Alligator mississippiensis: one gene and its partner. The protein of the gene in region 1 interacts with the protein of each later gene in a pairwise test. Links are inferred from orthologs where the notes say so. Each region holds a gene or a part of one and is shown on either strand. Other genes may lie near its edges.

Evidence for each region. The genes of interacting proteins can lie anywhere in the genome.
Region 2: the proteins of RINT1 (region 1) and FAM81B interact in binary tests that used the Homo sapiens proteins (3 or more experiments, as listed by UniProt). The two-hybrid records come from large-scale screens. The link is inferred for Alligator mississippiensis from reciprocal best matches to the Homo sapiens genes RINT1 and FAM81B.

What each region holds. Positions count from the first base shown.
Region 1 is NC_081827.1:26,523,110-26,529,468, reverse strand, and holds the start of RINT1 (RAD50-interacting protein 1), read right to left. Parts: upstream 3,646-6,359; 5' UTR 3,570-3,645; intron 3,528-3,569; exon of another isoform or gene 3,481-3,527; intron 3,473-3,480; exon of another isoform or gene 3,346-3,472; intron 2,284-3,345; 5' UTR 2,265-2,283; coding exon 2,088-2,264; intron 1-2,087. Other genes in the region: PUS7 (pseudouridylate synthase 7 homolog), read right to left, coding at 5,401-5,537. UniProt on the Homo sapiens protein: Involved in regulation of membrane traffic between the Golgi and the endoplasmic reticulum (ER); the function is proposed to depend on its association in the NRZ complex which is believed to play a role in SNARE assembly at the ER.
Region 2 is NC_081826.1:239,356,137-239,362,495, forward strand, and holds the start of FAM81B (protein FAM81B), read right to left. Parts: upstream 3,793-6,359; 5' UTR 3,636-3,792; intron 209-3,635; exon of another isoform or gene 139-208; intron 1-138.

The DNA.
Region 1 (6,359 bases):
TTGACCACAAGATGAACATGAGCCTGCAATGCGATGCTGCGGCTAGTAAAGCAACCAAAACGCTGGCTTGCATCTACAGATGCTTCTCAAGCAAATCCTGGGATGTCATGCTCCCATTGTATTCGGCCTTGGTGAGGCCACAGCTGGAGTACTGCGTCCAGTTTCGGTCCCCACAATTCAAAAAGGACATGGAGAAGCTTGAGAGTTCAGAGAAGAGCCACGCGCATGATCAGAGGTCAGGAAAACAGATCTTATGATGACAGGCTGAGAGCTATGGGGCTCTTTAGCCTGCAAAAGTGCAGGCTCAGGGGTGATCTGATGACCACCTATAAGTTTATCAGGGGTGACCACCAGTATCTGGGGGAACGTTTGTTCACCAGAGCGCCCCAAGGGATGACAAGGTCGAACGGTTATAAACTACTGCAAAACCATTTCAGGCTGGATATAAGGAAGAATTTCTTTACTGTCTAAGCCCCCAAGGTCTGGAATAGTCTGCCACTGGACATATTCAAGCACCTATGTTGAACACCTTCAAGAGAAATTTGGATGCTTATCTTGCTGGGATCCTATGACCCCAGCTGACTTCCTGCCCCTTGGGCAGGGGGCTGGACTCGATCTTCCAAGGTCCCTTCCAGCCCTAATGTCTATGAAATCTATGAAATATGCTGTGCTTTGGTTTTGATTTGACCTGCACAGTCAACTAGGTGAATTCATAACTTGATTTTTGGTTTCGGTTATTATGCAAGTGTATTTACCCTCCTGTTTACAAATCAACAAAACACATATGTACTCTCTCTCACACTTCCTAGGGATAATCACCTGAAAAACATTAATTACAACTCTGAAACTGCCAAGCTTGCCTAATATTGTATTGGCATCAATTATGAATTTTATGAAACAATGAATTTTTAGAAATGGAAAATTTCCCACATAAAAATAAAACACTGGAAAATTTTCCACCCCACATCTGAGCTGAGCTAGTTCACAAGAATGACATAGTATCAAAGCCTTACTTACTACTATCTCCTATTAATCTCTAGGTGCTACTAAATTAATAACCTGAGGATATGTTCTAGTATTGTTCCAGATATCAAACTTAGACTGACTGGCCTGTAATTCTTTGGATCCTCTGTTTTCCCTTTTTTCAGTTTCTGGGACGTCATACAACATCTATGAGTTCTCAAAAGACAATAGCTAGTGGTTATGCAATCATTTCAGCCAATTCCTTCATTAATTAAGGAGCTATTGATTTTTAAATATCTAGCTTACTTAGGAAACTTCTAACTTGTTCCTTCCTTCCTTCCCAGGAGCTCAATACACACACCCCTCCCCTCTCCACAGTAAAATATACATGATTGTTTACTTAAGGATGTAAAAAAACCAGCAGTTTTTCTGGCATTACTTAAAATATTGCAACACACTATTTACCTGAATCCAAAACAACCCTCAATAATTAAAACAACCCGCAATAATTAGATTCTATATATGGAAAATGTATACACTTGTTTTAATTTTCCATATATAGAATCTAATTATTCCATCTTAAATCTCTTCCCCCCACACACAGTGCTGCAGCAGGGAAAGCAATGGCAAGGGTGCAGACACTAGGGGGCAGGGGCAGTAGCAGTAGCTGTGGTTCCAGCTGACCCCAGATCAGGGCCAGCGCCAGAGCTGCAGCAACTGCCTCCCCGCCACCACCTCCCTGTACTCAAATCCAAGATGAGGGGCTTTTTCCCACCATGTTAAACAGGGGGAGAAAGCATCGTTTTGGATTTGAATAAATACAGTAAGTACATATATGGTTTGGCAACGTACAGTAAAATCGCTGATATCTGGCACAAATGGGGAACGAGGGAGTGCTGGTTCTGTAAAAATGTGGGTTACCTGAGGGCACAGGGTTTCCACCCAGACATGGAGCCGGAGTTGGTGGCAGCAGCCATATGCAGAGTGGGGGGTGGTGGCTGCATGTGGAGCGGAGGTAGCGCAGTGTGGTGGGTAGCAGCAGCCACATGCAAGCTTTCCCCCCTGCTCTTCTGTCATACTGTTTTTACTACATTAGTGAATTTGAGAACTGTGAGAATGCTTACCTGCTCCTCCAATTGCCTTTTGTTTTCTGAGAGCTCTTCTATTAGCATGCCAAGTTTTGTTAGGGAATTACGATCGTTTCCAATTTCTCTTTCCACAAATTCAGATACATAGTAGGGTATATCACAGTGATCTGGATCTCTAGCGACTAGTTGTCTTCCAACTTTAATGGCCGCCATTTTTTCTTCACCTGCAGCACTGAATTACAGGATATTTAGTTAGCCACCACCAACACAGAACTACTGACCACCAGAGTGAAATAGGGCCAGAGAAAATTCAGTTCAAAACTATTCTGTGAAAATACTGCTTCCATAAGACTATCCACATGCATAAGTTTTTGTGGGGATATGGCCTTTGATCCACAAAGTATGACACACACACACACTCATCGGCTGACGAGTGCACAGAACCAAAACACAGCTACGAGCAAGAAAAGTTAACCAGCTTTTACTCCTCTGACACTATATTTCTAAAAGCTACTTGATTTTTGGACAGGCATTTAGTAAGCAATCCTACTCAATTTACTAAGATGAGCTGTGTTTGGGGAGTTTATGCATACTGTTGATATACAGGAGGTGAGGGGGTGCGTGAGTGTATGCGTGCGCGTGTGATCTGCTTTCATAAATTATTTTTTCTGTAAGCCGCCCTGAGCCTGTTTTGGGAAGAGCTGCAACAAACATCTAGTAAATAAGTAATTTTATTTTTGGTTTAGCATATAAAAAAATAATCGAAAATGTTGGTCCAACTCCTGCAACGACCTTCGGCAGCTTTGAAAACAGTGAAATTCACGTGCGAGAGCTGTCTGGTCAGGTTATCATCCCTACCTCAACCACCAGATTAAAAATGTGCAAAATGTGTCAAATATTTCATATGTGCAGGCAGCTGAAGAAACCCGCGGCCATTTGAACATTAGCTTAAAACTTCTTTGAAAGAAACGCGTGGAAAAGGGGGAAAAAAAACCTAGAAACCATTTATACTCGTTAGTCTGGTCACCGCACCAGCAGCGGACAGGCTTGGCCCGTGACGCTGCAGGCGGTGTCTTTGCCTTAGTGCCTTTTGGCTGCTTCAGTCCGGCACAGCCGCAAGGGAGAGGAGAGGAGGGCAGGGCAGGGCAGGGGAGCGGAGCGGGCTGCCGGCCGCGCTGTCGCTGTCGCTGCGGGCAGCCGCGAGTCAGCGCAAGGCCCGTTTGTGGGAGCAGCGCCACCCCCAAACCCCGCGAGGAGTGACCGCGGTCGCACGACTCGCGCAGCAGCCGCCCACCGGGACGAGTCTCATCGCAGCACCTGCAGCAGGGCCGGGCCGGGCCGGGCCGGGCCGGGCCAGGCCGGGCCGGGCTTCCCCCCACTCCGCTTGCAGCCGCCGCCACTCCCGCCGGGCCCTGAGCCCCGCCCCTACCGGCCGCGTCCACAGCCCCAGGTCCCGCGAGAGGTGGCGAAGCCGCCCGAGCGCGCGGGTCACGTGCCTACAGCGCTAGAACAGAGTACCTGCCACGCGCGAGACGCACACGCGAGGAGGCCCCTCCGGCGGTTGTTGCCGTTATTGCAGTTCCGCCTCGCCCCACCCCCAGCGAGGGGCGGAGCCTGGCACTCAGCCCCGCGCCCCGTGGCCAATGGGAGAGCGCGGTTGGGTTGGGCCGGGCCCCGCCCCGCCGCAACGCGCAGGGCAGTGAGGGGCAGCCAGGTTCCCGCCCCCGGGCTATCCTGAGGCGGTCTCGAGGACGGCGCACAGGCTGAGGGGTGGAGGGTGGCGCTGTGCTGGTCTAAGGACGGTGACAGGCGAGGTTCCGCGGGTAAATCCCAGATCTTTAATTAGACCAACTAATGCAGCTTGGTTGAATCAAAAAGAGCCCGGCCTCAGTGCTCTGACGAGGAGCAGAGTTAACCCAGGGCTTTCACACAGGAAGCCTAGCTGTGCTGTTCTGCCACAGAAAACCTGCTCCATCATGTCTGCTATAGGCAAAAAGAGCGGGACGCAGGAGTGGGCATTGCCCAAGGGCGCCTCTAGGGCAGCCAGAAGTCTACACAAAGTTTGGGAGCAGCTACAATAGTGTGTGCTGAGATGTGGAAACACCTCTGTGCCCCCAAAGGCATCTCCCTCTGCTCCCAACTAGAGTCAAAATTTTGGAAGTTTTCTGTTTTACTGAACACCATTCTGCAAACCGCCACAGCGGGTCGGGGCACCAGCCCACCCAGGATGTCGCCTTTAACCAGCTGAGAGTTTTTTTGGGTTTTTTTTTAAAGAAATGAACGGGTCAGCCATACTAGGAACAAAAAATGGCATCCACCTGCAAGCACATACTGCATCTCCACCGATACTTCGGGCAGTTCATTTTTTTCCCCCCCTCTCAAGAAAAGATACTTATGTTTTTGTATTATTCGCACACAAATCCAATGCTCAAAAGAAGACACAAACAACTTGGACTATTTACACAATTTATTAATTCAAGCAGCAGAAAACAAGTGTGTTTGGTTGGTTTTTTAAAAATTATAACATCGAAAATGCAACAGAACTGCTGTTAGAATGGCTTTTTAATCCTTTGGTGCCGGGAGATTGGATTTGCCCAGCTCATCCACTGCCAGCAATGGACCCACCAAATTTCTGGTGCCCAGAAATTAGCTGTTATTCATGAATACTCATCTGGACTTTTTGGTTAATTTGTTTTTGTTACCTGTTCTTTTGTACAAGTACTCTTAGAGATGAAAACATGCACAATATTTTCATAATAAAATTTAGAGCTCAAATAATTAAAAATAGCTGTATCTGTTTACATCACATAAAAAGGAATTAAAAGTTTTGCCAATCGATTCATTTACCAATCAGTGCAAATGCTACTGGCATTCCAACGCTACTCAAATGTACTCCTCTGAAATAAATATTAATTCTTCAATTGTATTTAATAATTCTTCTCTGTAACATTAGCATGCTTGCAGTGACTTTTATTCTGTGCTGAACTGATGAAAGTATATTCAATGCTCTCTGTACTTATAAAGAGAAAAGCAATTTAGTATTTCCAAAAATCTGAGATTGCTGTCCTAAGCCCATTTCTTCTTAAACTGTAGTTGTGCTAGAGCTTAAGTACATTATGGGCTCAGGTAATTAAGAAAGCCAAAGCATTAAGTTTTTTTTTGTTTTTTGTTTTTTACAAACACCCATATTGCAAATAATTATTGAATTAAATGCTTAAGCTAAAAAAAAAAAAAACTTAAAAAAATACAAACTTTTTTCTTCTAAAAATATTCAATGGTTTGCACAGGACAGGAAAATATGAAAACTCATTCATATTTTAAAATCTTTATGTAGTTTTACAGCATTCATTCAGCGAAGCCACGTAGTATTCAGCTGTGTCTGGTTTTTTATACTCGTGTCCATTTTTAAGACTTCTCGAATTGCCATGGTAGCGTAAGTGGAAGGAGGAAGAGAGAACTCCATCTTCAAGGCCCTGAATTTACCCTCTGTTAGGTATGAAAGAAGCAAATAAACATTTCTGATGCTGTTCTGTCATCACATCATTTGTCCTATTTTAAATATTTTCTCAAAGTGGTAATCTTAGCATGAGGTTCACAGATTGTAGGAGGCTGGAAGGGACCTTGCAAAATCGGGTCCAGGCCCCTGCCCTAGGCAGGAAAGACAACTGGGGTCAAGTGACCCCAGCGAGGTAACTGTCCAGTCTCCTCTGAAGATTTCCAGGGTAAGTAATTGTACCACCTCTGGAGGGAGTTTATTCCACAGTCTGGACACCCTGACTGTGACAAAGTTTTTCCTTGCATTAAACCTGAAATGGTCTTCCCAGAGCTTGTGGCCATTACTCCTGGTTTTCCCCAAGGGTGCCCTGGTGAACAGTTGTTCGCCAAGCCCTTGATATAGTCCCCTGATGTAGTGGTAAGCTGCTACCAAGTCCCCTCTTAGCATTCTCTTTTTCAGGCTGAAGAGTCCCAGGTCCCTCAGTCTTTCCTTGTATGGCTTGCCTTGCAAGTCTTTGATCATACAGGTGGCTCTTCTCTGGACTCAAGCAAGGCCCCCACAGTGAGGGAGGGAGTCAGGTTAGAGGCTGGGGTGAATGGGGCCCTAAGGGGTCATGGGACAGAGCTGCTGGGAGAGGTTGGGGGGGGGGCACGACTCACTGCCGCTCACGCACCCCTAGGGGAGCCATGGGCAGGAGGGCCAGTGCCCCCCAGATTTGTGCCCAGGGCAGAGGCAGGCTACCTGCTGTGGGCTGGGGCTCTGCTGCCTTTGCCCTGGGAGCCATGCACTGGCCATGCATCCCTTGCCCAACC
Region 2 (6,359 bases), on another chromosome or scaffold:
CTCCTTTTTATTATAAAGCACATAGCTAAGTTATAACTCCACATACACAACCTCCAGTGAGGATTTATAATAAAGGAATAGCAAATATTGAATCTCTTAAAAGTCATAAAATGACTACATTAAGTCTGTACATTATACCTTTGGAACTCTGGAGAGACGTATCTTTGTTTAGTAAAGAGTGTGTGCAGCTCTAAAAGCTGGGCAGTTGTACTGAGTCTAAAAAATGGAGAGAATCAGCATCTTGGTTTCCCTGGAGACATTATGAGGTCATCTTTCCAGTTTGATGGCACAGAGAGCTCTAATTCTGAGCTTCACTGCATAAAACATAGGACCACTTTTCTGCAAGTTATAACCTGCAGGGCTATATTACATAAAAAAGAAAGGAACCTATTGTACACATGATGGCTGAGTAGGCAGCACGTTGCATCGCCTACAGTGAGATGTACCATTTGATCACAGGTATTTATGAAGGGAGAGTAAAGAGAAATTTGGGGGGTTTCAGGTCCCTTGGCTTTTCATCTGTCTTTCTGACAAAAACAGAATAAAATATTAGACATGAAGAGAATCTTCGTAGGGAGGGAAGGAGAGAAGGAGGGAGAAAAAGTGCCAAAGTGCAGTTGAGCAGAAGCACTTTGTGTATGTAATTTAACAAAAAGAAAAAAAATCTTGCTAAAAATCAATAACTACCATTTGAAAATATTTATAATGACATGTGAATGGGCCTGTATTGTATACAGGTCACAGTTACCCCTGTTATCTGTCACTGGGTGCGTCTACATGTGTCACTATGGTGATGTTGTTACTACACTGTGATTTAGTACTTCCTTTTGGAAGTACTAAATCATGGCACAGTAACAGTCTGTACTTCGTCGTACGCACGGCACATGGTTATTTTCAGCAGCTACTTCGCCATAGCGGCACACTACAGTGGGGGAGTGTGTTGCTAAAGTGAAATAGCTGCTGGTGACATGTAGACGCCCACGGACACTGTGTCGCCATAGTGTGTTGCTACGGCAATGTAGTGTCATGTGTAGACACACCCACTGTATTGTAAAACGTAATACATGTCTGTCTGTGATTTCCTTAGTAATTGTTTAATGTATATTAATTGAGATTTCCAAGCTGTGATAATGGTCTAAGCAGCTACCAAAGCACTTTCTCACTTGCAGCTCTCACATGTAGTATTTTGCCAGTTCTATCTCCTGGATATTAAATTAAGTGCAAGGTGCAATAGTGCAGTCATTGCAATAATCTTTTGTCTTCTCCTCTAGAGAAGGAAATAAAAACATTGTGAGAGATACATAGTTCAGTATAGCCCATTCATGTATGTCAAACTAATTCCTGAGTTACCACATTAACTTGCTGTAGCAAGCAATTCCTGCACTGGGAAAACAAATGCAAAGCTCCACATTACTTACGTCCCTGGTTGGCACCTTTTTGGGGGGGACTATGGTGGATAGATTCTCAGGTATGTCTGTACATTCTGTGTATGCCGCAAAAATAATTTCTCTAATGGCTTCTTTGCAAAGGGATATTCAGACCATGACAGAAAAAAGCTAAAGGATAAATGCCAGGGGAGAAGCCCTGGAGTCTGTGCTTATGGCCCCAATGTCACATTCAGCTGGCAGCAGATAGAGGTTGAAACCAGTACTTAAACACCAGTGCCAGGTTGGGGGAAGTGGGTTTACCTTCCAATCAGCACCATCTGGCCACTTCTTCCCTATAGAGCCTGATCACTTTGGTCTCCACTGGGTGTATCTACATGAAATGCTTACAGCGGAGTTGCCTAATTAGCTCTGCAGTAGTCATAACATCTACATGTGCAGCCCTATTAGGTAACTAATAAACACTGCTGTAGGCTAGTATTTGTAAACATAAGTGCTATTCTACAGTGTCCTTATTTAGTGCGCCACAACACACGTATAGATGCTGACAGGGGTGGCTGGGGCTTGAGGGTGCTTCAGTGCAGGGGCTGCCTTGCTGGCTAGCCCCACATGGGAGAACCTTTGTGCCCCAGCCAGCCCCCTCCAAAATACATTGAGCTGGGTTGGAGCAGCCCCAGGCTGGCAGGTTGATCCCCCAAACCTCCTGCCAGTTGGGGGTACTCCTGCCTGACTCAATATGCTGTGGTCCTGGACACACATGTAAATGCAGCGCCAGAAAGCAATAACCTCTGGTGCAAACTGCAACAGAGTTTATTGCAGATTTTAAAGTCAGAGAGTTACTATAATCATCTAGTTTGAATTCCTGCAGAATAGGACAGTGTTTCACCCAGTAATTCCAGCAGTGGAAGGAATTTTTCTTTTCTACTTGTTTTCTTTTATTTGTGCTCTACATTTGAGGTCAATAACTTGTGGATAAACTAGAAAATATTGTTGTAAAAGACATCTGGTCTCAAATCTCAAACCCAGAAGAAGTTCATTTTACCTTTATACAACCAATTCCGCTCTAAACATAAACATGCCTAATATACATATAACAAGCAATGTTAACAAAAGCTTTACAGAACTCCTGCTTGCAGAAGCAGAAAGAGCCAATCCTTTTATAATCAGATTTCAGACTTGTGTGTGGAGTTCTGCTTAGAAAATTAGACCCCTTGCTCTCTAATCAGTACCCATTGCAAGCAACCAGAGAACCTCAGTTCCTATTCTGGCAGTCCTATCCTGTGAAGAGTAAAAATCAGGAAGCTTTATTAAATCATGTAAAAGCAAAAGCAAAAAAAACCCAACCAAAAAACCAAAACATTGTGTGATATCAATCAACACAGGCTAAAGAGAGAAATATCCTGGTAAAGATGCTTGTTAATCATAATTAAAAATCACTTATGCACGTATGTGCACATACACACAACACATTTGGCTCTCGGTAATAAAGGTGAAATATTATCAAAACTGGTAAGGTTGCAGCTGTGTCCTGAAGAACAGAATTTGGCCCAAAGCATACAGTTCGTTATCTAACATTACTAAATATGAAATCATATTGTAGCAGATACCTTTAAAACATCCCTCATGGTGCACAGTTAATTGTTTGCATTCTATTACCTAATTTACTCTGCATCCACCTCAATAAAAATGTTATGGTTGCTTGATAAGAAAAATCATGTTTATGAAGAAATAACTTATAAGACATGAAAAATTGTTAAGTAATTACTGAAGAGGTGCTGCATACCTGTATGATAGTTTAAACAGAAATAACTGAGCATAGACAAAAGAAAAACTCATAACCAGGAGAAGCCACGTGAAAAAAATATTAGCAGAATCATATAATTTCATACTGTGATTTTGTTACAAATATTATACCAAGATACAACTTTTACTATATGGGACTTCTGATATTTTAATTCGATGTCCATGTGAGATTAGCTTCTGACAGGATCTGAAGGCCAGTGAATCATCTTTGAAATCATATTTTCTACGTAAGTACTGTACTTTACCTTGAATGTGATACTTTCTCAATATTTTTATGTATTCACATTAATCTGCTCAACCCCATAACTCCTGGGCCCCAAAGGCTGCTGTCAAGGCAATATAGCAAATATATCTTAGCCCTACCAAACACAAATTCCCCCTGCAGCCATCAGTAACTCTGCCAGTTTGTTGGGCAGCTAAGAAAAATGGCAAGCAACCCAAGAATACCTGCTGCTATGCTCTCAGGAATCCTGCCTGTTCCTTGAAGCAGTCACAATGGTGTTAAACGAAAATAAAAAAAGAAAGGCCTGTGGGACTTGCTTCCTTAGCATGTCAGCACGGGAAGCGGACAGACGGGGGTGACAAGTTCCTTGGGCCTCTTGGAGGGCTGCGACTGAAAGCTTTTGTTTACTCTGGTCTCTAGGTAACCGTAATGCCTGCCCAGGCAAAAAAGTGTACAGGGGAATTAGCTGGCATGCTTTCCTTACGCTGATTGTAATGTATAGGCAGTCCTCGACTTACAATGTTTCGAGTTAAAATGTTTCGCAGTTACAACATTTATAAATTGACACCCTGTTTCAACTTAATGACATCAGTTTTGACTTTACAATGCTTGATCTGATGCAATGCCATGCCAGTGAACAAGTTTGCTGGGTTGCTCATCTCCCTGGAGAACATTTGTCCAAACTTACTTGGACACGTTCTTTAAGAAAACAGACAAAACTCCAGAAAAACCTGCAGTCAAGACTCCTGAGAATACTCCAGCCAAGAGCCCTTCAAAAAGTCCAGCAAAGTCACCTCAAAGAGTCTTTCCAAATCAACATGATTGCTATTTACAATATAAATATATTAATGTAGCTATATTACTCCTCTATAATTGATCGAGTACAAAATTCTGGGGTATTTTTGGTGAAAATAGGTTATTGGGCTTTGGTTCAGGAACCAATCCCTCATTTATAACATTGTTTCTTATGAGAAAATTGGTTCCAAGTTACAATGTTTTGACTTAAGACGTGGTTTTCAGGAACCAATTGTGTTGCAAGTCCGAGGACTTGCCTGTATAAGGATTTGATAATGATAGAGTGAGGAACTCTCATTCTTGTTTTAGATGGGGCAGTGGATGTAAGGAGTGAACACTGAGATCCTTCCCTCTCACATCACTGATGAAATCTGGAAGTAGTTCCCAGGGTGTCACAGTTGTGGTGGTGGTGTCACAGACCCGAGGTGAAACCGGAAATCACAGAATCGTAGAAATTAAGGGCTGGAAGGGACCTTGAAAGATCATTGAGTCTAACCCTCCTGCTCTGAGCAGGAATACTGCTGAGATCAAATGATCCCAGCAAGGTGTCTGTCCAGTCTCCTCTTGAAGACTTCCAAGGTTGGGGACTGCACTGCTTCCTTGGGAAGTCTACTTCAGATTCTGGCCACCCTTACCATAAAAAAGTTCTTCCTTACATCCAACCCCAAACCATCCTCTAAAAGTTTATGGCCATTGTCCCTTGTTGTCTCCTGGGGCACCCTAGTGATCAGTTTTTCTCCTAGCTCCCAATATTCACTTCTTACATATTTATAGATGGCCACTAAGTCCCCCCCTCAGTCTTCTCTTCCCCAGGCTGAACAGTCACAGATCCCTTAGTCTTTCCTCATAATGTTTGTCCTCCAGGCCTTTAAGTATTCTTGTGGCCCTTTTCTGGACCCTTTCAAGATCCTCCACATCTTTTTTGAAGTGTAGTGCCCAGAACTGGACACAGTACTCCAGCTGGGGTCTCACCAGCACTGAGTAGAGAGGAAATATCATTTCCTTAGCCCTGCTTGTAATGCATTGACTAATACATCCTGGTATGCTATTAGCTCTGTTGACTACAGTGTCACACTGGCAGCTCATATTCATCCTGGGATCAACCATAACCCGGAGGTCCCCTTCAGCCATTGTGCTTACCAGGACATCTCCTAACTTATATTCATGTCACTGGTTACTTCTCCTCAGATGAAGCACTCTGCACTTACCTTTATTGACCTGCATACAGAGTGAGACAGAGAGAGTATTCATGAGAGATGCAGCTGGCACAAAAACTGCCTTCTCTGGATGCAGACTCACTGCAAGGTTCTTAGTTACTTCAAATGGCACCATTTTGCAAACAGTTTCCCATCATATTCTCTCCACAGAGCTTTGTACATGGTGAGTTCAGAAATGCAACCCAAAAGAGTATTCACCCTACCAGAAAGGGTAGGGATTTTCCCACCCAGAAGGTCCTACCCTGCTTTCTAGGCCTCCTTCTCCCATACATCCTTTCCCCCTGCTGTGAAGGCGATGCCCACAGACCTTCTGAGTGACCAGCTGCCCAGTGTGTAACTGGCCTCTCCTTCACACTCATGCTTTCCAGTGGGACTGCAGGACTTTCCTGCCATTGCAACCCCTGACTGTCAGAGGTCCTTGTGGTGCCTGGCAGCATCTGCCTCACTTCTTTTCCTGCTGGATCTGAGCTGAGGGAGGAGCCAGAAGGCTGCAAAACAGGAAAGAATCTTGTCCTTGTTCCAAACCAGTTCTCCTTGCAACCAGCCCACCTCCCCTTCCAGCCCATCTTCCACACAGGTAATCCAAGCATCATTTGTCTTCTGCCCTGCCAAACCTGCCAAGTTTACCTTTGTTCCCCCAGTCTATTTCCCCTAGGGCTTAGGCAACATGAATTGACTTTAAACTGAAGTTTATGGCTGTGTGTGAATTCTTGCACAAGGAAATTCTTGCACAAGGAAATTTGCATAGTTATAAATAATTTCCATAAAACTTAGCAACTCTACAATCTCCTATGCTTCCAGGCTTAACTTAAATGTGATGATTCCCCAGCTGGCATTGAAATCCTCAACTGCCTCTGAGCATTGCCTGGGAATTATCCAGCCCGGGCTAGATCATGAAACAGACACTATAGCCTCTTCTGGAGGAGGTCAAAAGGC